7 linked regions of the Sus scrofa genome follow. The main gene of each other region encodes a partner of the protein of the gene in region 2 in a complex. Links are inferred from orthologs where the notes say so. Each region holds a gene or a part of one and is shown on either strand. Other genes may lie near its edges.

Region 1 (4,292 bases), on a different chromosome or scaffold from region 2:
TACACTTACCTGCCGAACAGTTGAAAACTGTGCCACCTGTTGTTGTTGCCACTGAAGTGTAGGGGAATATCCTTCAGGCGCAGGTTGGCATCCTGAAAGCTAGAGATCAGTTCATAAATGTCAGAATCAATGTTAGTGTTATAACTAGAATCTCATGCTTCTGCAAAGTAAAAGCAGAATCAAGACGAAAAATGAATAATAAAGCAAATAAGACTACACAAGAAATAAATTTCTATAAATTTTTTTTCAGATGTAAAAAAGGGAATTCTCTTTACTATTTATGTCTGAGACATAAGACATTAGGAAAAGACCCCTTATATGATCACTTTAGTAAGAGCAATATGGAATGGCTTATAGTTTATATATTTATGTATATATTATATGTATTAAGAAATCCAAGAGTTCCAGTCGTGGCTCAGTGGTTAATGAACCTGACGAGCATCCATGAGCTTGTGGGTTTGATCCCTGGCCTTGCACAGTGGGTTAAGGATCCAGCATTGCCGTGAGCTGTGGTGTAGGTTGGCAACTACAGCTCTGATTGGACCCCTAGCCTCCCCCAACACCCTCTTTTATCTACTAGTCCATCAATAACATATCTACTAAAGAGCTTAAAATTATGTCTGAGCTAATAAAAGTAGGAATACTACTTTCTACTGTGGCTGTGGCAAAGGCTGGCAACTACAGCTCCGATTGGACCCCTAGCCTGGGAACCTCTATATGCTGCGGGTGCAGCCCTAAAACAGACAAAAAAAAAAAAAAAAAAAAAAAAACAAATCATACGAGCCCTGAAGATATAATCTAGCCCTACTTTTCTATAACAGCAAAACAGTCTGAAACAAAAAGAGAGATATATTCCAAAAAAAGAATCTTGGTATGAGTAGAATGTACTCAAGTAATTTAAGACTTTTGACTTTACAAGGTCTACTTCTGTTTCCCAAAATAGCACATAGGTGATAAATGATCACATATTGCCTTGAAATAAAACTTAGTATGGTCTTTTTTTTTTTTTTTTTTTTTTTTTTGTCTTTTTAGGCCTGCATCCATGGCATATGGAAGGTCCCATGTTAGGGGTCAAACTGGAGCTGTAGCTGCTGGCCTACCCCACAGGCACAGCAATGCTGAATCCAAGCCACATATGTGACATAGACCACAACTCACAGCAATGCCAGATCCTTTAACCCACTGAGCTAGGTCAGGGATTGAACCCATGACCTCCTAGTCAGGTCTGTTACCACTGAGCCACAATGGGAACTCCTAGTATGGTCATTTTTTAAAAGCCAGATATATAAGGTATCATCTTCCAGCAACTAAAAACTTCTGAAAAGGAATTACATGAAAACTATAGTGTCTGAATTAAAATCTCCTGATTATAAACATGAGATAAAGGAATTACTTAGAACATAAAAGGAAAAGGAATTATTACAATTTAAAAACAAATTGAATCCTCTCCTTCCACTGTGGGTTAAATAGCACCTCCTTAAGGAGACCTTCTGCTGCTAATCCCTGTTACTTATTGGTCATTATGTTAACTTTCTTCACAGCAAGAGTCAAAATACGCAATTAAATTGTTTGCTTTTCTTCTTTCTCAGGAGAATGTAAACTCTACAAGGGTAGGGACATATTTTTTGTTTCATCCTCTGTTGTATTTCCAGTGTCTAGCACAACAGAGTTGCTTTGTAAAAAGTGTGCTGGATAAACAAATGAAAAGGTTTACAGTGGCAAAATACCTAGAAAAGTGTAAGATATTTTGATTTCAAATTTTTAAAAAACAAAAGCCAGTCAAATTCAGAACATGCAAACTACATTAAAGTTAAATATCAGCCCAATAATAATTATGAAGAAGTGCAAAAAGATACCTTAAAAATAAAGGATAGCGTAAGTAACTTATTTAAAGCCTCCTTTAGGATTTGATCATCTTCTTAAAGTATTATGAGCAAATCTCCATGAATGCTAGGGTTACCAAAAGCCTCTATGGAAGCAGTAAATGGAATCTGTCCTTTTAGGGGACAAAGTACAAGCAAATGTCTAATTTACTAACTTACTACAGAGTAGTCAAATCTTAACTGATACTGCCTGATACTATCTGATACTATACTAAGAGCCTTGGTCTTTTAATTTGTAGTTGGGAGTGGGAAATCCCCTGACGGGTAATAAAACTCACAGAAACATTTACACTTTGCTTCCTTTTCAACTTCTTTGGGTCAATTTGAGCTACCACAACATCTGGACATTGAGCTGCTTCGATCCTACAAACAAATAATAAATGCAAGAAACGTGATTACTGTTGTTCATGCGCATTAAAACAAGCGATCCACTTCTACAGTTCATTACAAAATCAGAAAAAAAAAGTTCAGAATTGCAATTGAGGTACTAAACGATATATTTCTGAAATTATCTGGACTGAAAGCAAAGAAATTTAAGTTCACGTTATCTTCTCACGAGTAATCACGTTTAGCAAAATTAAGTTCATAGATGCAATGAAGGGATCTTGATCCGGTCCTAAACTGGAGACGGGATCAGAGACAGGGCTTTATCAAATTTGGTGGTGGGGCGAGGCACTGGGCGCTGTGCGCAGGGAGAACCACCAGCCCACCGCACAGGGTCTAATCACTCACTGGACCCGCCTCAGGTATTCCTGAGGAGTCCTCGGAGGTACGCTGGGATCGAAACCTTCTGTCAAGTCGCAGGGCTCCACTGGCAACAGCTGGGGCATCAACTCTTCCACCGCAGCCTCTGCAGGTACCCACGCCATAGTTTTCAATCCGGCCCGTCCTGCCCGGCGCATGCGCCAAGTCTAGGTCACAGCGCAGGCGCACAAGTGGGCGGGCGCCTTTGGCGCGGAGATGGGCAAGAGGCTGGGTTTAGGGGGCGAAGCTGCGCATGAGCTAACTCGCTGGTTGTCCTAAGGTTAAGGCTCGGGTGGAATAATGAAGACCAGGAATTTAGTTCCTGGTACTAGTGGTTCTGAAGTGTTTAAGGGGGGTTCCTTCTTTACTCTCCTAAGTAAATACTGAAGATTATTTTATGCATCCACAGTAGTGAGGGAACTTTAAATGTTTTTAAATTAATGAGCAGATTACTGTAATTATCACTTGTTGAGCTCTAAATTCTTAAGTCTCTGGTAGACACATCACATGCATTTCTTCTTTCTTTTCTTGGCTAGGCCTGTGGCATGCTCCCCTGCCAGGGATTGAACAAGCGCCACAGATGTGACCCAAGCCGCTGCAGTGACAACGTAGGAGTTTTAACCAGCTGCCCCACAGGGGAACTCTTCCATGGAATAGAAGCAATTGCTGTTTGAACAAAAGCTAGCAGTTTTAGTGACAAGTCTTGTCAGCATTTAAAGAAGAAAAGACAGGCATGAAATCAACCGTGTTGTAATTTTAAATGGCCATCAGCACCTTGACCTGGTATGTGCTACTTAAACTCTTATGCTCACGTTCATTTGTTATTTACAGGGATTGGACCAAATTATCATTAAGGTCTATTTGAGTTTGGAATTCTATTAACTCTAATGTGTAATTTATTAATTAGCTTTATTAACTATACCTGATATTATTGTAGTCTTAGGGCATGCAGAGTAGAACATATATGATGCTGAATATTACTTTTTCTAGTGAGTAGTTCAAAAATAGTTGGCCAGTGCTTTATAATGTCACCATCTGAACAAATGGAAGAGAATCCACGTTAGAAAAAATAAGTGCCTCGTTTATAGAGTAAACAAAAAAGAAAAAGTAGAGGTGAAACCGCCATCTAGTGGTGACCATGTAAAATTCCCAGAAATTTGTGTTACCATATTTTACCTACTGCTGGAATCTCCAATTTGGAAATCTCTGTGGGTTCAAAAGTAGGAAGGAAAATACTGGCTGTTACACATTAACAAGTGATTAATTAATGACTGAATAATGTTCAGAATACTTGCCCCCAGATGGTCCCTGGAAAAAAGTTCCAAGGTCAAATATCTTTGGGAAATGTATGCAAATGCCACTCTTAAAGATTCACAATGAATATTAGCATATTAAAACTCTTGACAAGTCAAGATACCTATTGTACATAATTTTACTGGTGTTTTTGACCACAGGACCTCTTTCTCTCTCTCTCTTTTTAATATTCTCTGGCATTGTAAAAAATGCCAGTCTGAAGAAATAATGATCATAGGAGTAATTTGGTTTTTTTTTTTTTTTTTTTTTTTTTTTTTTTTTTGCCATTTCTTGGGCCGCTCCCGCGGCATATGGAGGTTCCCAGGCTAGGGGTCTAGTTGGAGCTATAGCCGCCGGCCTACGCCAGAGCCA
Region 2 (4,291 bases):
GATGCTAGTCAGGGTCTAAACCCACTGAGCCACTATAGGAACTCCCCGACCCAATATTCAATGACAGAATCTTACGACCAAAACAGAAAAACAAAGATTTTGTTATATTTTGGTTATTTTAAAAACCAAACAAAGTTGTGAAGAAATCAGAAGGTAATCAAACCATATCCAATCCAATGGATATTTTATTTTATATTTGAGACAATACATAGTGTTTTATTTAATATTAAGCAACAATCTTAAATGTTCAGGATATTCTCCAACACCCAAGTATACTTTAGCAAAATAAATGCATATTGAAATTTTAAATAATTTGAATTAAGCAACAAAATTCCATATCAGCAGGGTAGTATGAGAATATGAAGCCAAGGGCGTTCCCGTCATGGCTCAGCAGAAGTGAATCTAACGAGTATCCATGAGGATGCAGGTTGGACCCTGACCTCACTCAGTGGTTAAGGATCTGGCATTGCCATGAGTTGTGGTGTAGCTCACAGACACAGCTCCGATCTGGTGTGGCTGTGGTTTAGGCCAGGGGCTACAGCTACAGCTCCCATTCGACCCCCCACCTGTGAACCTCCATATGCCGTGCGTGCAGCCCTAAAGACAAAAAGAATATGAAGCCAACAAGTCAAACCAGTTTTTACCTCTTTGCTGTAGGCTAGAAAATATGAAACTTCATTCAATTTTAATGTATATCATGGAGAATTCAAAGATAAATAAGACATGAGGCCTGAAGAAGGTGTAAGAAGACAGGTTTTTACAAATAAAAATATATAGTATGACATGTAAAACAATCAATTTTACTAGGATGTTATAAAAAAACACAAATATAACACATATGAACTTATTTTATTTAATCCTTATGAAAGCTTTTTAAGTTATGCATTGTTATTACCACCAATTAACAGATGGGGAACCAAGGCCCAGAAAGGTTAAGTAAAATTTCCAAAGTCACTCAGCAGTGAAAAAGTTTGAGCAAAATCAAATGGTTCAGTTTGGCCCAAGAACATGGTACTCAAATATTAGCGTGTGTAATATTTGGTGCTTGGATTTCAAATGGAGGAGCGTTACTGCTGGTTCAAGAAGTCTGGACTTTATTATGCAGATGGCAATAAGTTACTGCAGCAGTATCAGGCATGGCTAAGATTACTGAAGCATGTGTAAATCAATCCATTACGCTGTACATCTTGAACTTACGTAGTGCTGTAGGTCAATTTTATCTCAAAAAAACTGGGGGAAAAAAAAGACTACTTTGGCAATGATTTTTAAGAGGGGTAGGAAGAATATGATTGGGCCAGGGTATCTCAACCTTGGCATACTGACATCTGGGACCAGATAATTCTGTTGTTGAGTGATGTCCAGTGCACTGTAGAATATTTAGCAGGAACCCTGGCCTCTACCTACTAAATGCTGGTAGAACCAGACTCTCTACACCACAGTTAAGAACCACAGAATTATATTAAAAGCAGACGGAAGATATAAAAATGCAAAAAAAAAAAAAGATTTCGGGCCTCGTGGGTGGCATGCGGAAGTTCCTGGGCTAGGGACTGAACTTGAACCACAGCAGTGCCATGTTGGATCCTTAACCGGCTGAGCCACGAGGGAACTCCAAAAAAAGATGGTAAGGAAGAAAAAGTTAAAAGTCATTTTGGAGGTAGACCTGGCAGGATCTCACAATTATTGAAATCTACATATAAGAAAAGAAAGGTAATTAAAAACTCTCATTAATATCTTAAGAATCAAAAAGGAAATCTTACCAAGAACACCCCCCCAACAAAAGAGCCTTCTCTAATTAGAGAAAAATGAATGTTCTCACGCATTCCAGTTAACAGAGCAAAATATCACACATTCAAGTTCAACCTAAGTGCAAGAAATTAAGAAAAAAGAACGGGATTTCTTTTTTTTTTTTTGTCTTTTTGCTATTTCTTTGGGCCGCTCCCGCGGCATATGGAGGTTCCCAGGCTAGGGGCTGAATCGGAGCTGTAGCCACTGGCCTACACCAGAGCCACAGAAACGCGGGATCCGAGCCGAGTCTGCAACCTACACCACAGCTCACGGCAACGCCGGATCCTTAACCCACTGAGCAAGGGCAGGGACCGAACCCGCCACCTCATGGTTTCTAATCGGATTCGTTAACCACTGCGCCACGACGGGAACTCCCAAGAACGGGATTTCTAAGTTAAAGCTCAAAGGAACCACCAACACACTAAGATGAAGGCAGCTTTTGAATTTCTCATATACCATCAAAACAATTCCATTCCATCCACCTCCTTAGTTCCTTACAGAATTACTGTCCAACCACCTTATCTCGAACGTGATGCTACTCAAGGCGTTCAGCTAACTGTGGTATTCAAGATCTTTAAGTAACGAAGGATCGAGTGCCAGAGACCCGGCCAGGAACTCCGGCCTGGGAGGCAAACCTGCAGACGGAGGGGCCTTTACGTCTTTGAAAAGCATGCCCACCAGGCCGAAATACAACATTTGCGCGGGATGCAGGCCCGGAAACGTGGGACGGTGGCCCGGATCGCGGCGGCAGCCAGTGGCAATAAGCACGGCAGACACACTCTCCGGAAATGGCTGGGGATCCAAGGAACTCAAGGCCTACAAAGAAGCCGCCATTTATGCGCGGCCCTCATGCATACTTACTTCTTCAACTCCGGCGGGTGAGCTTTGCTCATGATGCCTACTCCGCGAACTCAAAGAAACCTCCAAACGGAATTCGTGTTCTCCCTCACGCTCCAGCGGTAGGCCCGGTGCTTTGCGTCTGACGTCACTGATCCCGTTAGCCAATTGATTGTTGGCCGCTTTCACGTTTCACGTCGCGATACTTAGGAAAATCCTGAGCTCGCAGATCAGTCCCAAGCTTCCGTTGTGTCGCCAGGGATTGGCTAGAGCGGAGGGGTGGGGCCTCCAGTCTTTATATTCCTCTTTGTAATTGGGTTGCTGTTCCTGCCTCTAGCATTTGAAGGACGCTGGTTAACTCATTGTCTTTGTGGGTTGCAAAGTTGTCTTGACGCTACCAGATGAAAATAAGCTCTGGAGGGGTAGGCTCCTAAAAATTTCTTTGGCATGTGTGTGCATACTTCCATGTGTTGTTCTTCCCTTTGTTGTCCTCTGCAAACACTGCGGTTTTTTTTTTTTTGGTCTTTTTAGGACCGAACCCTCCGCATATGGAAGTTCCCAGGCTGTGGGTCAAATCTGCGCTGCAGCTGCTGGCTTTTGCCATAGACAAAGCAACGCTGGATTCTTAACCTACTGAGCGAGGCCAGGAATCAAACTAGTATCCTCATGGATACTAGTCCGGTTCTTAACTCCCTGAGCCACATCGGGAACTCGTTTTTTTTTTTTTTTTAATTTAGCAAATTGAAGGTTTGAGGCAGCCCAGAGTCCAGCAAATCTCCCAGCGCCATTTTCCCAAGAGCATTTGTTCACTTTGTGTCTGTGTCATTTTGATAATTCTTACAGTATTTCAAATTTTTTCATTACTGTATTCGTTATGGTGATCTATGATAGGTAATCACACTAAGAAAAAAAAAATCTTGTGACTTGCTTTGAGGTATTTGCTTCACTGTTGAACCTGTGGTATTTTAGTATTCCCACAGGATGTCATGCTACAACTAAGGTTCTAGTAACAGCTCAGTTAACGACCTCTGCACCAAAGGAATAGAGTGAGGGGGCCTCAGTTTCCAAAAATTTTAATCTAGAGGAGTTCCCGTCGTGGCGCAGTGGTTAACGAATCCGACTAGGAACCGTGAGGTTGCGGGTTCGGTCCCTGCCCCTGCTCAGTGGGTTAACGATCCGGCGTTGCCGTGAGCTGTGGTGTAGGTTGCAGACATGGCTCGGATCCCGCGTTGCTGTGGCTCTGGCGTAGGCCGGTGGCAACAGCTCCGATTCGACCCCTAGCCTGGGAACCTCCATATGCCGCGGGAGCGGCCCAAAGAAATAGCAAAAAGACAAAAAAAAAAAAAAAAAAAAAAAAAATTTTAATCTAGAGGTCATAAGTATATTCCCCACGGACAGTCCTGCAATGCTTCCAAAACCCCACTTAACTGTACCTTGCCCCTCTATATAAAGTATGAAGAGCAGCACACAGATGATTTCTAAAATATTGATTTTCAAGTCGAAAGGTGTAAAAAATGGTCTGATTTGATCCTAGTTAAGTTTCCCAAAAGAGGAGCAGCCCACATTTATGAATCAAGAACAATAGGGATTATAGAAGACTTAGGCCAAAACGGAAAAGCATTGGTTGTACAACTGGGCAGCAGAAACTGACAGAACATTGTAAATAAAC
Region 3 (4,021 bases), on a different chromosome or scaffold from region 2:
TAGTTCCTAGTCGGATTCATTTCTGCTGCACTGCTACACGAACTCCCAAGATAGATTCTTTTTATACATGTTGGATATCTCCCCAGGACTCTCATAGTCGCTTTGAATTCATCAGTTTTCCAGCAGCAGACAATCACTCATGCAGTTTAAGTGATTTATTGATGTCTCAGCTCTGGTTTGTTAGGGTTTCAGGACATTTCCCCCAGCAAGGTCTTTTAAGAAGCCCCATTCCCTACCAGAGGAACCATGCTACTTCATTCTGTGTGACACTCTGTCCTCCCTAACCGGCTTCGTTTTTCTTCAGTTCTTCCACTTTGGCAACATAGAGCCTCATGGCGTCCATCTTGGACATCCCTTTGTTCCCATTCCATGCCTCCCACTTGGCCTTGGCTTTCACATCAGTGGCTGAAGGGGCAGGGATGTTGCAGTCGCCCTGAGTGGCTTGTTTGTAGAAGCTGTACACCAGCAATTTCTCCTTATCACTCACTGGCCCCTTCAACTGCTTGATGGCAGCGCAGGCCATCTCAAACTCCACTTGGCACATTGGGAGAGCTGAGGCTGGGCCCCTCTGTCTTTTCTAGATGTTATCTGGCGCTGGAAGCTGTTGGATGGAAAGTTAGAAACACTTGAGGTTGGTGATTAAGTCTGAGAAGGAGGGAAAGGGAGAAAGGGAGACAGGGCAATGTGTGGGAAGAACATAGAATACTTGTTTCCTCAGTGGGAAATCAAATGTGTTTTCATAGATTGCAAATCAGGCCCTATTGAATTAGATCTGCCCAAGTATTTTGGCTCATTTTATAAGGAGGAGGTCAATTCATTGACGTTTCAAAGGCGTCTTTGATGCCAGAAAATGATGGAGCAGCTATTGCTGTCTGAAGGCGGACTGCTGAGGGGCCAGGGGGTTCTGAGAGAGACCCTCTGCGGAGGAGGAAGCCTTTCAGGGCATGGTGCGCCTGTGCAAGTTAGTGGGCGGCTTGGGGAGGGGCGTTCAGTGAGGGTGAGCCGTGTGCGACAGATCAGCGGATAACTGCATGCGGGAGAACGCGGGGCTACGATGTAACTAGCGGGTGGGACTCACTAGGGCCCAGGGAGAAGGAGCCTGAGAGCACAGACGCTTGGCGAGGCGGAGCCAGGACTGGGAGGGGCGGGCGCCTTGGGGGCGGGGCCTGGGGAGAGGAAGGGGCGGGGCTCGCCGTGGGGACGGAAGCGTGGGTACTTGCCTGTTGGCTGCGTCGAGGGCTGGGGCCGATAGGGGGCGCTGTGGGCCTGGCGGTCCCGACGCCGCGGACACGCTGAGCGACAGAGGTCGGCGGAGAAACCGCGTGGAACCCGAGCTGAGACTGAGGGCGGGGGCCGACACGCGGCCCATTGTCCCGCCCCCCGGCGCCTGCCATTGTGCTGTGACGCCTGCGCCGCCCTTGCTCCCGGGCGGGAGAGGGGTGGCTCGCGCCGCCGCCAGGCCGCCAGCATCGCCGCCATGGACCTAGGTGGGTGTTTGGCTCCCCTGTCCCGGGCCCGCGAGAGCCGCGTCCCCCAACCGGCGACCACGCAGTGCTGAGCGGGTCCTGGCTGAGGGAGACCTCCGGGTCAGGGAGGGGTTTGAGAGGGCGGGGGTGTCCCGGAGACCGGGGTCGGAGCGGCCGGGCTCCAGCCCCGGCCCCGCGGCGTCTCGGCCCGCCTCTTGCCGACTGCGGGCCAAGCGGATGTGAAGTTAGCGTTCCCGGGAGCGGACGGGTTCGGGCACGTGCTTAGGAAAAGGTCGGGCGAGGAGGATGCCCCGGGGGATCCCTGATGCCCCGGCGGTTTCATTTATTGGACGTTTAGTAAGTTCCTGAACAAGTTTCTTACGGTCTTGAGGTCTTCATAGATAAAACGTGGTGACGATATCGTATCCGCCTCAGAGAGTTTGGGGAAGTTTTCACCGAGGTCGCTTGTGTACAGTGTCCGGTCGGGTACCTGGCGCAGAGCTAGCGTTTTTCACACCGGCAGTTGTGGGGACCGTTTGTAGCAGCGGAGGTGGCTCGTGCATCTGGATTCCTCAGAGTCAAAGTCTGGGAGCGGGGAGCTAGTCTAAATCGGCGGCTCCTTGCCCTGCCCCCCCCCCCCCCAACCTGGACGTGCTTTTAAGGGCATTAGACCAGGAGACTTCTGGGAGAGCTGGGGTGAGGCTTTCCAAGATGTGCCGGTATTGGGCTGTAGAGAAGCGTTCAGGTCGCTGTCCCCAGCAGCGGGGGAGGGTAGAGTAGGAAGAGTTTGGAGCCCTGCAGCTGTGGTGATCTGTCCCAGCCCCACCGCTTTGTAGTTCCCGCATCCTGGGCAGCTTGTTTCAGTCCTAAATGTTTCCACCTCCAAAACAGGAACGGTCTTCAAAAGGTTGAAGATTAAAAGAGATCTTAACACACCAACTAGCACAGTGCCTGGTACCGAGTAAGCCCTTAATATTAACATAAGGAGTGGGTGATCACAAGCACCAGTTAACCTGTAGTGAAAAAACAGTTTGGGATTTGCCCAGCCATTCACTGCTTCTGAGACTTACTCCTTCAGGTAGCACATGTACTTACTGTCTCTTGAAAGTTGGTCTCAGGACCAAACATCTCAGCTGAGCAGATAATGCAGTAAAATTACATTGACAGTCAGAAGGGAGCATATTTCGGGTCCCTGGGAGAGCAGCCTGAGCCAGAAAGAAGGGCCAGCAACCCCCAGGGAGACCCCTCAGCAGCCTAACCCTCCCCCAGGTCTGCCTCGGGCACTGGGCCCCAGGGTGGATTCCTTCACGGGTAGGTCACCTAGGAGTGCTGCTCCCTTAAGCAGAGTCTCCTGGAATCGAGATTCTCTCTGCTGACTCCCGGCCTGTGAAAGTGGGGAAGATGTGTTCTTGGGGGCATGAAGGACTGAGGAAGGGGCACTAGGGAAGGGGAGAGGGGTCGGGGGTGAGCCGTATTCATGCTCTTGATTTCGTTTCGGGGCCAGAGAAGATATACTTGAGAGAGACCCATGTCCTTTGCTTTTTCTGAGCTGGAGGAGGCAAAGAAGAGAGACAATTCATCGGGTCCTGCCAACAGTGGAGAGGTTTGAGGGAACCAGTGTTTAGTGAGCCCTTAATCAGGCTCTTTGTAGCCAGAGTCTGATTGTAGCTGTGTCTTACTTGACCCTCAGCAGCCCTGGGAGATGAGATCAGAAGCCAGTAGTGCCCAGGGCTTGACTGGCATGTCCTCTTTGGTCTTCGCAGTCCTAATGTGAAGTTGGTATTATCCCCACGTAAGCAGAAGGGCAGCTCAGAGAAGTATTTTGTCCAAGATCATACCACTTTTAAATGGCTGAGCTAGGATTTAAACCCATGTCTAATTAAACATCCCAAGATGTCTTCCTTGCTAAGTTCTTCAAGGCTCACTGGAGGAAGGACTTTTTTTTTAAGGGCCCCACCTGAGGCATATGCAGATTCCCAGCCTAGGGGTAGCCGCCAGCCTACACCACAGCCACAGCAATGCTGGATCCTTAACCCACTGAGCAAGGCCAGGGATCGAACCCGAGTCCTCATGGATACTAGTCAGGTTCGTTAACCACTGAGCCATGGCGGGAGCCCCTGCAGTGGCTCTTTGACCCCTTCTTCCCCCTCTCCTACTGGTTTCATTTAAACCCCTTATCTCTAAGGCGAATCACGACAGCCCCCGATTAAGTGCCGTCTTTCCCTCTGACCTCTGCTTGCTGTTCTGAACATTTTTACCACATTCCGTCCTGTTCGGCTTGTGTCTGTGCAGGACCTTTGAATATCTGTGAAGAAATGACTATTCTGCACGGGGGCTTCTTGCTGGCCGAGCAGCTCTTCCACCCCAAAGCTCTGGCAGAACTGACCAAGTCTGACTGGGAGCACGTCGGGCGGCCCATCGTGGAGGCTCTGAGGGAGATCTCCGCGGCCACGGCGCACTCCCAGCCCCTCGCCTGGAAGAAGAAGGCCCTGATCATCATCTGGGCCAAGGTTCTTCAGCCCTACCCCGCCACCCCTTCCGACACCGAAGCTCGG
Region 4 (2,538 bases), on a different chromosome or scaffold from region 2:
GCTGGCAGCTATAGCTCTGATTTGATCCTTAGCCTGGGAACATCAATATGCAGCAAATATGGACTCAAAAAGTGAAAGAAAGAAAAAATTTCTCCACCACTGGCCTGTGTTCTGAAGCATGAGGACCTTATACCAGAAACTAGATCTAGCTTAAATACCACTAATTACGTCATTGATTTAGTGATTGAGGATGATTTAGAAACAGCTGTGCCTAAAGCTCTGCCTTCCTTTGATTTTTTTTTTTCTTCCCTTGTTGATTTTGTATCTTAGGCCATTTAACAGGGAAAAGGAATCTCTGACAAAGGTTGACAATAACCTTTTTGAGAATCCAGTTACCTGGAGCAACCAGAGAAATTCCACCCGAGACAAGACAAAACATTTTTACCTTCAAACCAAAGTTTTGGGACTTTTGGGACAAACGGGGACCCTGGGATTCCTGGCTGCTCTGCAAAGTGGTGCTAACATCTCCATTCATAGCTCAGTATACCACTTTCGATCTGTTCATTTTACCAAGTCTTTGAGTTGTTTTTTTATTATATACATACTAACTTATGGTAAACACTGGGTTTGTTTCTAGTCTCCCTTCTGGTCCATCCAGCTGTGCCCTGTCCCTGCCCCAGGGCTGCACTGAAAGTGGAGGGCTGAATCATGACCTCCCCACCTTCGCGAAAGCTGGCTTTTCACACTGTACGGGGTTGGTAAGAGCCAGCAGATGGGAGTGTGTCCACAGGTCAGTCTTCATCCGAGTCGCTGGGGCCCACATACTGGCAGATGGCATCATAGTGAAGCTCCACCACCTGATTTTCTCTCCGCAGCTGCACCAGCGCCCGGCTCCGCTCTCTGTCCCGTTCCAGCAGACGGCCCACCTAGGGTCGGGGCAGGTGGGGTCAGCAAGGCCAACCCAGACTCTGGGACATTGCGTGCACACCCCCACCCCCATTCCCCGGTCTGGGACTCACCCTTCCAGCCCGTGGCCCCAGCACCACCATCACCCGGTGGCCCTCGACCTTGGGGACCAGGGTCTCCAGCATGTCTTCCCTCAGGCCTGCAGACAAGGAGAGGGGAGTGAAGCCCACAGCAAGGGCCAGCCCAGCCAAGGTCCTGTCAGAAGGGCCTTTCTTGGAGTTCCCGTTGTGGCACAGTGGTTAACGAATCCAACTAGGAACCGTGAGGTTGCGGGTTCGATCCCTGGCCCTGCTCAGTGGGTGAAGGATCCGGTGTTGCCGTGAGCTGTTGTGTGGGTTGCAGACGAAGCTCGGATCCCGCGTTGCTGTGGCGTTGGCCAGCAGCAACTGCTCCGATTGGACCCCTAGCCTTGGAACCTCCATATGGTGTGAGAGTGGCCCTAGAAAAAGCCAAAAAAAAAAAAAAAAAAAAAACCAAAAAAAGAAGGGCCTTTCCTGTATTCCCTGGAGCCGCTCTGTACCTGTCGACAGATAGGAGTCTCCCACATTCATTTCACAGGTGACAAAACCTAAGGAGCAGATTCTGGCAATAGTTCTAATAAAGGGAGAATTTATCTCTGATGATGATGGTTGGGGGTGATCACAGACACCATTTATTGAGGGCACATTGTATGACCTGCCCTGCACGGGGAGCCCAAGACATTTCCCGACAAGGCACCGGCACAAGAGGGAGAAACAGGTTATCTCCATGTTAATATTACCGACGGGGAAAGTGGGGCTCAGATAGTCACCATCACAGAAGCATCTAGGGTTGTGTTAGAGGATGCTGAGGCTTGCAAAAAAAAAAAAAAAAAAAAAAAACAAAAACGAACTGTGGCAGTTCCCGTTGTGGCTCAGTGGTTAACAAACCCGACTAGTATCCATGAGGACTCGGGTTCAATCCCTGGCCTCGCTCAGTGAGTTGGGGATGCAGCATTGCCACGAGCTGTGGCGTAGGGCACAGACGCAGCTCGGTTCCCGTGTTGCTGTGGCTGTGATGTAGGCTGGCAGCTATAGGTCCAATTTGACCCCTAGCCTGGAAGCTCCATATACCACAGGTGCGGCCCTAAAAAGACCAAAACAAAACAAAACAAACTCTGCCCAACCTCCCAGCCTTTGCCAGGGCCACGCTTGCCTAAGATGGCCCTCTGAATCAGCCTCCAGGATGATAATGACCCAATGGCCATCCCTAAAACTCACCTTCTAGGACCTGGCCCTCATCTGTCCGACACACACAGGTATCTGGGCTCAGGACATCTTCAATTGTCATCTGGGGAGAGGGTCGGGGATACATGAGGAAGTCAGACAGCTAAGGGGGCCGAGTCCCTGGAGGAGGAAGCAGACGCAGGTGCGGGGCTCCCACCTTGGTATTGTAATACTGGCCACCCTTGTGCTGCTTGTCCACAAACCGCACGCGCAGGTCCCTGTGCAGCCAGTGCTGGCTCCTGGGGGCTGCTTTCTCACTCTTGGCTGCAGGCCCATCTGGTCTGTGGGGAGGGGCCAACACCAGACTTAGCTCTCCACCAGAGGCACGGATGTTCCAGTTGCCCCACCTTTGCCGATGCTATGAAACCCACCCATGATGCCGTTGCTA
Region 5 (4,155 bases), on a different chromosome or scaffold from region 2:
TAGAAAACTTCCATTGACCAAACATCAATTAACCAAGAGAATGAGCACTAAAGCCAAAGAAAGCAAGGATTACCACCAATTCCACTTAAAATTTTCATCATTAAAGATCAGCCAAGGAGTCCCCACTGTGGCACAGTGAGTTAAGAATCCTCTCACTGCAGCTGCTCGGGTTTTGAACAAGTGCATGTTTGATCCCCTGCCCCACACAGTGAGTTAAAAGAGCTGCAGCCGGCTCGGATTCAATCTCTGGCCCAGAAACTTCCATATGCAGTGGGCCATTAAAAAAAAAAAAAAGAGGAGTTCCCATCGTGGCGCAGCGGAAACGAATCTGACTAGGAACCATGAGGTTGCGGGTTCGATCCCTGGCCTTGCTCAGTGGGTTAAGGATCTGGCGTTGCTGCGGGCTGTGGTATAGGTCACAGACTCGGCTCGGACCTGGCATTGCTGTGGCTGTGGTGTAGGCCGGCGGCTACAGCTCCAATTCGAAGCCTAGCCTGGGAACCTCCATATGCCGTGGGTGTGGCCCTAAAAAGGACAGAAGAGACAAAAAAAAGAAAAAGAAAAGAGACCAGCCAAGACAACACGCCAGTGTAACAACTCTAACACTTGCAAAGGCATCAAGTGCACAGTTGTTTGCATTTTTCACATGCCCCTCACTGCTGGCACTATCCCACGAGTAGCTGACATAAGAGCACCCGCCACCCCAAGCCACTCATCACAGATGCCAAGAGCACACTGCTGAAGCTGGGCGGCCCTTCTGGACACTGGCCAGGGAGCCCCAGTCACCTCATCATAGTTGGTGTCATTCAGATCCTCATCGTCGTCATCTGCGGCCTGGCTCTTCTTCATCTGGTCCCCGACGGTCCTCTTGCCCGGGGGCGCGTGGCGGTCATCCACGGGATCATTGGCATCCCGGGCAGGCCCAATGTCTGACCGGGTGGTGAAGCCAGTGGCACTGCAGGAGACCCCAAGACGCCCACTTATCTGAGTGGCCTTGTTTCTGTGCTTTTCCCTCCACAGGCGTCACCTGATGACACCTACTTTTCCAACTGCTCTGGGAAACCTCCAAAGATCCCGTGAACTCCCCACAGTGCCGTGTGTGCAGGGAACCCCACACAGCCGTGCTCTCCAACGTCGCCGTCCGTCCGCTTCAGGACAGGAAGCTGAGGAGGCTACCAAGGCTCTCTCCTGCCACCCCCGTTCTCCGGGAGAGGGCTTCGCCAGGGCACCAGCCTCCCATTCCCAACACCTGCTAGGCATCTCCCTCTCCCACTCCACCCGGGCCTTCCAACGCAGCTCGGCCCAGGCAGAGCTCCCCTTCCGCACCGGCCCTGCAGCGGCAGCTCTGGGCTGTTTCAGCGGGTGGTGGCAGTGCCGTCCCAGGCACCATGGCATTGGCTCGGCCTCCCTCTCCCTCCCACCCGCCTCCAAGCTCTACAGGGTCTCCCCCCAGAACCCATGCTCCTGAGACCATGACTCCCATCCCATCTCGTTAGGAAGCAAGCTACCCCCCTGCATGGAGCTTCCCTAGCTTCAACACAGCTCCGACCGCAGCCTCTACGCAGCAAGGCTCTCATTCAGATTTGAAGGAGGAAACGAAAGCTTTACAGGCAAGCAAAAGCTAAGAGAATTCAGCACCACTAAACCAGCTTTACAACGAATACTAAAGGAACCTCTCTAGGTAGAAGGAGACCATAACCAGAAACAAAACTATGACGAGTGACGGGGCTCACCGGCAAAGACAAACACGTGAGAAAGGGAGAAGGTCAGCCACACACAAACAGGCCACCAAACCCAGAAATCGGGAGCAGAGGAGGGTACAAAGGCAGGATGCTGGGGATGCACTGGCAATGAAGAGACCAACAGCTTACAACAACCCTGTGTATACAAAGACTCCTATATCAAAACTTCACGGTAACTGCAAACCAAAAATCTACAAGAGATACACACAGAAATAAGAAAAAGCAACCCAAAAACAACACTGAAGACAGTCATCAAACCACAAAAGAAGATAATAACTGCTCAATTCCTCAGCAATAAACGGCCGTCATCTGATCTAGGGGACCCAGTCACAAGCCTCACAGATGCCACCCCTGCCCGCGGAGAGCTGACTCTGAACAGGCAGTACTGTGACCACCGACACCGCAGCGGAAGAACGAGCAACCCTGAGCGAGCACACAGAGGACCCCGGCCGGACGGTGGGGGAATCAGTCCCGTTCAAGGCAGGGGTTGGGGGGGGGCGATGCCTGGCCTGGGGGGTAGTAGCCACGGTGCTCAACTACAAGCACTGCACACTCGCAAGACGGCGTTACCACCCGCCTCTCAGCACAAACACCGGGCTCAGAGCGCCCCGGTGTCCCGTCTCCTGGGGAGGCAGCCTCGCTCGGGTCTGTCCGAACCCAGGACGCCGTTCTTCCCACAAAGACCTGGCCAACCCTGCGCCACCGCTGCTCTCGTCCTCCCCGCCCCGACCCGCCGCCTCACTGAGACGTGTGGGCAGTCGCGACGCGACCACGGTCCCGCCCGGGGCTCCACCCCAGCGCGCGGCCCGCCCCAGGCCTCACCCCCGGCCCAGCCCGGGCACGTAGCCGAGCGGAGCGGGCATGCCCAAGAACGGCTTCTTCTTCTTGTTCATCGCGGCTGTGACGCCGACGGCCGGGAAGGGAAAGGACGGAGGCTGCGGCCGGAGGCCAAAGACGACAGACGACCGAAGCGCCGCCGCAGGAAGAGCTCGCGCGCCCGCGTCACCCGCGCCCCGGAAGCAGAGCGCGCGAACCGACAGATCCCCGCCCACCTCGGCGGCCCCGACCGGAAGTTCCCTAAAGGCGACTTCCGCCCGCTTCCGGCGGCTCCTTGACTCCGAGACCGAGACGCGATAGGCGCATGCGCGGGGGGCGCCTGCTCGTGTAGCTGCGGGCGGGCGGGCGGTGTCACCCTCGATTAGCCCTCGATTAGCAGTCTGCACACGGGGGAACCTCAAACCTTGAGCCGGGGCGGCCCTGCTAACTGCGTGTACTCGATGCATTTCCGATACCTGCCTGTATGGGCAGGACCTATGGGTCCCCCGCCTCCCGGATCCGCCCTCCCTGCCCCCCGCCCAGTCGCCCTGGCCCCGGGGCAGGGCCTAACACAGCTCCGGGGGCTGCACACCCAGCCAGTTGTGTAGAGCTTATGCGGAGTGTATGTGTTGTGATCGCGTGTCCCCGGGTGCAGACTGCTTCCCTGGCTCTCCGCGCTCAGATTTCTGGACCCGATCCGGCAGCGCCGGTACCTGTACAGGCCCCCACCCCCACCATACCCTGAACATTCAGGTGCTTCTGGTGAGGGTGGGAGCCCAGATCCTAGGGAGCTAATTGATGAGCATAAATAAATGCACCAGGACAAGTTAGTATGCGGGCATGAGTGGTCACAGCATGTGGGTGAATTCCGTGTGTCCGTGGGCACAGGTGCAAGTCAAGCCACCTGTGCTCATATTTTAGGTGAATATGCATGACCGTCCTTGGCATACATGTCTGTGTGTCCATGTGCACGTTTGCTGAGGTGGCTGTGGGACATCCTCTGGCCCCCACATTCACCTGGGGAGAGCCCTCAGGCTCTAGGCAAAGCAAGCAAAAAGCTGGCCACATGTTTAGCCTTCTGCTGGACCAGGCAGCCCCCAGCCCACCCTAACCTTTCTCACTGGGGTCCTGGAGCAAACATAGCTCTCCTGCCTGCTGCAGCCTTCTCAGAGTTTCTCCCTCCTCCTTGCCCCCAGCCGAATCCCTTTCAGCACCACGCCCTGGACGCTGAGTCAGATTCTGGGTCTCCAGAGGGGAGGGGAGAGACCCTGCTGTCCTCCAGAAGTTTGCGGTGTTGTGGGGAATAAGAAAGGGTCGAACTGACTTCTCTGGGGAAACGAGTGCCCGTTGGACAGGGAGACCACTGGAGAGGTCTGGAGATGACGTGAATAAAGGAATAAGTAAACTGACATAGGAGAATGGGTTAGGTCTGGCCCTTGACCTGGCCCCCAGTGGACAGAAGCTCCCCGGAGCAGGTACACTACCCTCTCCCCTCCACACACGCACTCTTATGTCCCTGACTCAGATGCTCCTGCAGACCTCTGGATCTCCTGCCGGTGCACAGAGTCCCTTGTCCTTGCACGCCCAGGTGCGCACT
Region 6 (3,224 bases), on a different chromosome or scaffold from region 2:
GCCGCTCCCGCGGCATATGGAGGTTCCCAGGCTAGGGGTTGAATCGGAGCTGTAGCCACCGGCCTACGCCAGAGCCACAGCAACGCGGGATCTGAGCCACGTCTGCAACCTACACCACAGCTCACGGCAACGCCGGATCGTTAACCCACTGAGCAAGGGCAGGGACCGAACCCGCATCCTCATGGTTCCTAGTCGGATTCGTTAACCACTGCGCCACGACGGGAACTCCCTATACACAAATTCTTTTTGTTTTTGTTTTTAAATGTGCTTTTATGGAATAAAAAATGATTTGTCATTTTACATTTTGTTTTTTTTTCTCCCCAACCTCTTTTCCTTTTAGGTTAAAAATTTTGCAGTTATTTATCTTGTGGATATCACAGAAGTACCTGACTTCAACAAAATGTATGAATTATATGATCCGTGTACTGTCATGTTTTTCTTCAGGTATGTTCTCTTAAAGTTGTTATTTAAATTGAATAGATGGTCTGGAAGTTTAATGTAATCAAGATATCTTTAGATTCTTTTCTTTAGGAGGAGGTCAGTTATGCACTCATATCATAATATGGTTTGTGTCACCAGGCAATCAGTGTGATCTTTTAAATAATTTTCAAAGTAGCAATTACAGATTTAGCATTTACAGTAACACATTACCCTTTTGAAATAACTGCCCAGAAAACTAAATGAAGTGTAATTAAGTGGAAGATGTTCTTATTGACATTTCAGATACCTTTAAGTATAATATGTTGATGAAAAAATGTTTAAAATAACTGACTTTTTAAATATGATATCAATGACTTTATTTAGTGTCCTTTTGTGATAGCCAGAAGGAAAACCTTTACTTAATTACTTTGCTTAGAAATACAAGATTATTTTATCAGCTGAAAAATTCTGTTGCTGGAGTTCCTTTTGTGGCCCAGTAGTAATGAACCCAACTGCAAGTTCAGTCCGTGGCCCAACTCATTGGGGTAAACATCTGGCGTTGCCATGAGCTGTGGTATAGGTCACGGACGTGACTTGGATCTGGCACTGCTTGTGGCTGCGGCATAGGCCAGTAGCTGTAGCTCCAGTTCTATCCCTGACCTCACTGTAGCTCCAGTTCTGTCCCTGGCCTGGGAACTTCCATGTGCTGTGGGTGCAGCCCTAAAAACAAAACAAGACAAAAACTCTTTTGTGGACTTTAATCAGTCAGTTACTGACTCAAGGAATAGAATTTCCCTAATCGCCTTAAATTAATTTGTATCCATGATTTACAAACTTTGCATGAAAGGAGAACATAGAGTGGCTACTGGTTAGGTACATGGGTGTCCAATGCAGATGCAAATACGTTTGATTGGGGTTTATAAAGTTAAGTAGCATCACAAGTGAAAAAAAATTCTCTTGTGGACATTTAATTTGGAAAGAATCACCATTTCACAGTTTTTACTTGTCAAAATTTCTTACTGTTGGAGTACCCATTGTGGCTTAGCAGAAATGAATCTGACTAGTTTACATGAGGATGCGGGTTCAATCCCTGGCCTCACTCAGTGGGTCAGGGATCTGGCATTGCCGTGAGCTGTAGTGTAGGTCACAGATGCAGCTGGAATCCTGCGTTGCTATGGCTATGGTGGTGTACGCCAGCAACTGTAGCTCCAATTCGATCCCTAGCCTGGGAACTTCCATATGTCTAGGGGGTGGCCCTAAAAAGAAAAAAAATTCTTAGTTTATTGTTACTACAAAAGTTAGTAAATAGCAACATAAACATTAGGCCATACTCCAGAGGTAGAGCTTCACAATTAGAGAAGTTCTGGGTAGAGTATATAGGGTGTAGATTAGCTTTCTGTTCTGTTTGACAGTGTGCCCAAACTTGGTGGCTGAAAACAACACCATTTATGAGCCCAAGGTCTGTAGGTCACAGTCCAGGCAGGCTCACTGGGTTCTGTCTTGGGGTCTCAAGGCCATAGTCACAGGCTGGGCTTTTAGCCAGGCAGTCAGTCAGGGGGGAATCTACTTGGCTCTTGGGGACTATTGGCTGAATCCAGTTTCCAGTTCTGGGTGGACATGGGAATGAGGTGTCTTTCCACCTGGGCCCCTCTGTGCTCCTAGAGGCCCCTCCAGCTTTGAAGCCCTCAACCAAGAGTTGAGTCATTTTTACACAGTTGCTCTAACTTCCTGTTCTGCTTTCAGAGGGCACACTTGATGGATTAGACTGTATAATTCTGGGGCATCTCCTTATTTTAAAGTCAACTGGTGGGTACTTGTAGGGATACCTGCAGAATTCCCTTTGAAGTGCAGTGTAACTGATCGGAGGCATGATGTCATCTCATAGTCCTGAGGATTAGAGCAGGAAATAGCAGAGGTTATTTTAGGATTCTGCCTACTGCAGTCTGCCCTTTGGCTCACAAAGATTCAGATCCCTCTCGTATGCAAAACTGAGTGTGGATGAGGCTTCTCTGGGTGACCCATTAAGCCCAGCTCCTGGACACTCTTTCTCTGTGGCCCCTCCCCAGGATACAGTGTGGGACAGGCATAGGGAACAGTCTGGGTTCACCAGGAGCAGGGCTTTGATGCAGGGCTAGGATCATCCTCTTGGTCCAATGCCTGCCCTCGGGAGGGTTCTCCCCAGCCTTTTCTGCCTTTTTCATGAATGGCATTTCAGCTGGCTTATTTTTCAGCCTGCTTCCTGCCAGCAGCATGAAGTTGTAGTGCTTCCCCTCGGCCTGAGCAGGTAGAGTCTGTCCTGGGTGCCAGAGCTTGCTGGTTGCTTCCTGGGAGAAGATCCTGTCCTTTGAACATTCTGACCTTTAGGTCTTTTCCAGGTTTCAGTAGGTTATGTGGCTTCTGTGTCAAGAGTTCAGCACCCATTTCTGGATTTCAGCATCTTTTGCTATTTGGAGAGGCTGAGAATTTGTTGTTGTTGTTGTTGACAGTTTTTACAACCAGTTTCTCTCTTCTTTTACTATAAGGCCTAGGAAACCAGGCAGTGCCTTCAAGACTTTACTTCTGTGTTCTCAGCTCTTATCCACATGCATCGCTTACAAGTGTCACAGACATTCTGCCACTGTGTAGCAAAGATCCCTTTCCTCCACTCCCTGGAACATGTCCCTAACTCCTTGCAAGTCCATATTTCTACTAACAGGCTATTTAAGGCAATCCAGGCCTTTTCTGTTATGCTTCTCAAAGTTCTCCAAAAGTCCTCCAGGTGGGAATATGGGTGCCGCCTTAGATCCTGCTTCTCACTGCATGTG
Region 7 (3,500 bases), on a different chromosome or scaffold from region 2:
TCCACTAGCTCATTTGTTTCATTTGTTGAAAATTTTTTACTCCCTTTTTCCCAGAGAAAAGGGAAAAAAAGAAGTAAAAAATTATTATACCTCTTGGGTCAGCTTATAAATGCATATTAAAGTAGCTGGGCACACTTAGCACTTAGTATTACAAAAATTCACCCAATGATTACAAGCTCAATGATGTTGCTTCATTCTACCACAGGATTATGGTATTCTAAAATATGATCCCCTTTTTTCTTTCTTCTTGTATATAATTTTCTTTTCTTTTTTTTTTCAATTCCTTCAGTAACTTTGTTTTTCTTATAACCTATCAGGTTTTATTTTGTCTTATTACTACAGGCATCTTATCTCTTCTCTGACATAGTACTAAGATCCTTGAAATAAGAATCATATAAAATTCTTCTGGACACTCAGTTAGGCAAAGAGTTGGTGACTAAACAAATGGTTGTTGAATGAACAGTAGCTGTACAATTAAGTGCCAACTTAATGAGTGAAGTTCAAATTCTAACACAGTGTACATTTTCCCATCAAGAATACCTTTCCTTGTTCTAATTATGACTATGGGATCTTCTCCCTATCACTTATTCAACTTTAACGGATGCTACGAAAAATACATCCTGACAGAATAATCACGTCTCACGTCCCTACTAGAGAGACTGCTGATAGCTACTCCCTCACGAAACGGCAGTTACTGAGAGGCTCATATGCCACCAAACAACTGGTATATGTGAATATGGGTGTGTGTGCCCATATGTGTACACAGAGAAGATGAAAATGCTCCCAGCCATCACTATTAAAAAACACTGTGATTTTGGGTTGTTAATATCATTCACAGTGATATTTCTTACACTCATATATTATTTACTTAGCTGATGATCCCATGTCACATTAATATAACCTGAAAGACAGCCATTATAGTAAAAGTTTGCTACACATCTCATTTAAAAGTATGTTTCCTACATAGGAAAAGTATGGCTATGTTATACTTAATCTATTTCAGAATAACAGGGGATTAGCCAAGAAGAACAAATATATTGACCCATCTACTTACGCTCCAAGGAAGTGAATCAGTATATAAAAGGTGAGCAAACATCTTAGCAACATTTCTCAATTTGTTTGTTTCCAAGCGATGGATGGTATCATATTGTTCTTTGAATATACTTTCGAAGGATTCCATGTATTCTTTTTTTAGCATACAAAATCGCTAATAAATTAAGAAAAAGTCAATACCATTATTAAAGCCTTCTAGATTTATTCAATCAAAAGATAATCAATATTTTGTATATCATATAACCTTTTTGTGCTGTATAATGGGATGCTCAAAAAGTAAGATAATACGTATTATCCCTAGGTACTTGGGGTTTATATGCTAAAACAAAATTATACATGTAGCCGATCACAGACATACACATTTGCATAAAATAAACTTCTCTGTGAGTAGAGTTTGGATTCTAAAAAGTATTTTAGCTCATCCTTTACTGTGCTGCCTGAACATGTACTTGACTTCAGAAACTGCTGTGAAATTGTGAAAAGACAGCATTTAATTGTTCTCTTTGGGAAACTGTCAAAAAGCATGTGGAATTTCCCAAAGCCCTGGAAGAGTGATATGTAATGTTACGGCACTACAAAAATAAAGTGGGACAGGAGGAAGCTGCAGAGAGTGGGGAACCTGAGGGGTGAACAATTTGTTTTCAGGAAAGATATGTTATTACATTAGACTAGACCATAAAGCAGACACATTAATTCACAACACTCATGTTAAGAATTCCCTTTGTGATTTCATCACAATCCAACAAGAAAAATGATGTTGGAACTCACCCCAGCTAATAAGCCAAAAAATTTCTCATATGTCCTCTGTTGGGCACAGCAATCAAGTATCATGTTGCAGAGTTCTTTCTATTTGGAAAAAAAATTACATTAATGATTCAAAGCACAATGAATCCATGCTGTATAATAATTTATCAATATGACAGAGATAGCCTGAACTTTAAAGTAAGGTTTTCAAAACACAAAACTTCCACAACTTTATGAACTTTAGTTATGAGGACAAAATAAAAAAAATCAATCTATGTCAAGGCTATAGTCTTTTAAAGGCTTCTGTTTGGCTGACAGAAATTTCAGTCATCTATGCTAATTACATCAATTATAAAATTCTAAATTTGGAGTTCCCATTGTGGCGCAGTGGTTAACGAATCCGACTAGGAACCATGAGGTTGTGGGTTCGGTCCCTGCCCTTGTTCAGTGGGTTAACGATCCGGCGTTGCCGTGAGCTGTGATGTAGGTCACAGACGTGGCTCGGATCCCACGTTGCTGTGGCTCTGGCGTAGGCCTGTGGCTACAGCTCCGATTCGACCCCTAGCCTAGGAACCTCCATGTGCCGCGGGAGCGGCCCAAGAAATAGCAAAAAAGGACAAAAAAACAAAAAAACAAAAAAATTCTAAATTTGTATAAGCATGAACTACTTCAAGAAAACCTCGTATATGAAAGAGATACACCAAAAAGAGACTAAATATACTGTATTCTAAAAAGATTCTATCCCAGTAGGGCCTCCAAAAATAAGTTAATTATGTAAATAAATAAAACAAAAGTAAAAAGATTTTATAAATATGTCTTTTAAATACAGATTAACAATATGACATCTAACAATTCAGTTATACACCTTTTGAAGATTTAAACCCAATTATTAATGAATATATTTTGTTAGTATGGAAAAGACAGATCATAATGAGTCTTTACAGAGGCATAAATGGACACAACTTCAATGCTGAGTTAAATGACCCTCTGGATGATAAAGAAGAAAATATATTTAAAAGAACAAAATAAATGTTATGAATATAGATCTGTCAATAGATGGATCTATACAAAGAGATGGAGTCATTAAACTCCTGTTATAACACAATGTCTAATCAGTTATTTATGTGCTTTGAAAAAATTACTTTGTGAAAATTCTATTGACCTAAGAAGTGCAAGAATAAATCCAAGATTAGGAAATACCATCATCACAAATGATTTACACTTAATATTATTTACTAATTCCTGAAATAATCCTAATGAAATATGTATTGATTATAGCAATTTCATAGATGAGGAAACTCAGACATATGAACAAATCAATGGAAACAAAACTAAAAAAAGGCACAAATTCATTCTCTGACCACTAAATATCTGTAGACTTGACTAAATATCTTTTTCTACAAAACATTTCTTATCAAAAGTTTAAAATTATTTTTTCTAAATACAGTAACTGCAATTTATTTGTGCTTTTTACAAATAGAAATCTATAAAATATAATGTATATCATTTCAGTTCATTTTTACTTTTAATTTTACTTTCATATTTTTAACTACAAATTTTGACATCTTTGTCACTTAATAACATGAGATACAACTTAAGTAACTATTGCAAATTTTTAAAAATTAGGTCAATGTTTATTTATCGCATACATCTTTGTAACAAAGATATTATGGAAAAATACAGAATAGACATTCTAGAACTGT

The links.
Region 1: SNRPG (region 2) and GEMIN2 share a complex: the UniProt entries of both Homo sapiens proteins name them as parts of the SMN-Sm complex. The link is inferred for Sus scrofa from reciprocal best matches to the Homo sapiens genes SNRPG and GEMIN2.
Region 3: SNRPG (region 2) and GEMIN4 share a complex: the UniProt entries of both Homo sapiens proteins name them as parts of the SMN-Sm complex. The link is inferred for Sus scrofa from reciprocal best matches to the Homo sapiens genes SNRPG and GEMIN4.
Region 4: SNRPG (region 2) and GPKOW share a complex: the UniProt entries of both Homo sapiens proteins name them as parts of the minor spliceosome. The link is inferred for Sus scrofa from reciprocal best matches to the Homo sapiens genes SNRPG and GPKOW.
Region 5: SNRPG (region 2) and PRPF6 share a complex: the UniProt entries of both Homo sapiens proteins name them as parts of the U4/U6-U5 tri-snRNP complex. The link is inferred for Sus scrofa from reciprocal best matches to the Homo sapiens genes SNRPG and PRPF6.
Region 6: SNRPG (region 2) and TXNL4A share a complex: the UniProt entries of both Homo sapiens proteins name them as parts of the U4/U6-U5 tri-snRNP complex. The link is inferred for Sus scrofa from reciprocal best matches to the Homo sapiens genes SNRPG and TXNL4A.
Region 7: SNRPG (region 2) and CWC22 share a complex: the UniProt entries of both Homo sapiens proteins name them as parts of the minor spliceosome. The link is inferred for Sus scrofa from reciprocal best matches to the Homo sapiens genes SNRPG and CWC22.

What each region holds. Positions count from the first base shown.
Region 1 is NC_010443.5:169,674,660-169,678,951, reverse strand, and holds the start of GEMIN2 (gem-associated protein 2), read right to left. Parts: upstream 2,801-4,292; 5' UTR 2,786-2,800; coding exon 2,616-2,785; intron 2,247-2,615; coding exon 2,162-2,246; intron 100-2,161; coding exon 10-99; intron 1-9. UniProt on the Homo sapiens protein: The SMN complex catalyzes the assembly of small nuclear ribonucleoproteins (snRNPs), the building blocks of the spliceosome, and thereby plays an important role in the splicing of cellular pre-mRNAs.
Region 2 is NC_010445.4:72,197,231-72,201,521, reverse strand, and holds the start of SNRPG (small nuclear ribonucleoprotein G), read right to left. Parts: upstream 2,801-4,291; 5' UTR 2,679-2,800; coding exon 2,647-2,678; intron 1-2,646. UniProt on the Homo sapiens protein: Plays a role in pre-mRNA splicing as a core component of the spliceosomal U1, U2, U4 and U5 small nuclear ribonucleoproteins (snRNPs), the building blocks of the spliceosome.
Region 3 is NC_010454.4:47,108,137-47,112,157, forward strand, and holds the start of GEMIN4 (gem-associated protein 4), read left to right. Parts: upstream 1-1,221; 5' UTR 1,222-1,477; coding exon 1,478-1,487; intron 1,488-1,493; exon of another isoform or gene 1,494-1,823; intron 1,824-3,758; coding exon 3,759-4,021. UniProt on the Homo sapiens protein: The SMN complex catalyzes the assembly of small nuclear ribonucleoproteins (snRNPs), the building blocks of the spliceosome, and thereby plays an important role in the splicing of cellular pre-mRNAs.
Region 4 is NC_010461.5:43,176,764-43,179,301, forward strand, and holds the end of GPKOW (G patch domain and KOW motifs-containing protein), read right to left. Parts: intron 2,432-2,538; coding exon 2,308-2,431; intron 2,215-2,307; coding exon 2,145-2,214; intron 1,046-2,144; coding exon 960-1,045; intron 867-959; coding exon 732-866; 3' UTR 501-731; downstream 1-500. UniProt on the Homo sapiens protein: RNA-binding protein involved in pre-mRNA splicing. As a component of the minor spliceosome, involved in the splicing of U12-type introns in pre-mRNAs.
Region 5 is NC_010459.5:62,814,154-62,818,308, reverse strand, and holds the start of PRPF6 (pre-mRNA-processing factor 6), read right to left. Parts: upstream 2,801-4,155; 5' UTR 2,636-2,800; coding exon 2,565-2,635; intron 1,383-2,564; exon of another isoform or gene 1,042-1,382; intron 956-1,041; coding exon 787-955; intron 1-786. UniProt on the Homo sapiens protein: Involved in pre-mRNA splicing as component of the U4/U6-U5 tri-snRNP complex, one of the building blocks of the spliceosome.
Region 6 is NC_010448.4:127,977,889-127,981,112, reverse strand, and holds part of TXNL4A (thioredoxin-like protein 4A), read left to right. Parts: intron 1-340; coding exon 341-444; intron 445-3,224. UniProt on the Homo sapiens protein: Plays a role in pre-mRNA splicing as component of the U5 snRNP and U4/U6-U5 tri-snRNP complexes that are involved in spliceosome assembly, and as component of the precatalytic spliceosome (spliceosome B complex).
Region 7 is NC_010457.5:85,550,338-85,553,837, forward strand, and holds part of CWC22 (pre-mRNA-splicing factor CWC22 homolog), read right to left. Parts: intron 1,900-3,500; coding exon 1,822-1,899; intron 1,208-1,821; coding exon 1,055-1,207; intron 1-1,054. UniProt on the Homo sapiens protein: Required for pre-mRNA splicing as component of the spliceosome. As a component of the minor spliceosome, involved in the splicing of U12-type introns in pre-mRNAs. Promotes exon-junction complex (EJC) assembly.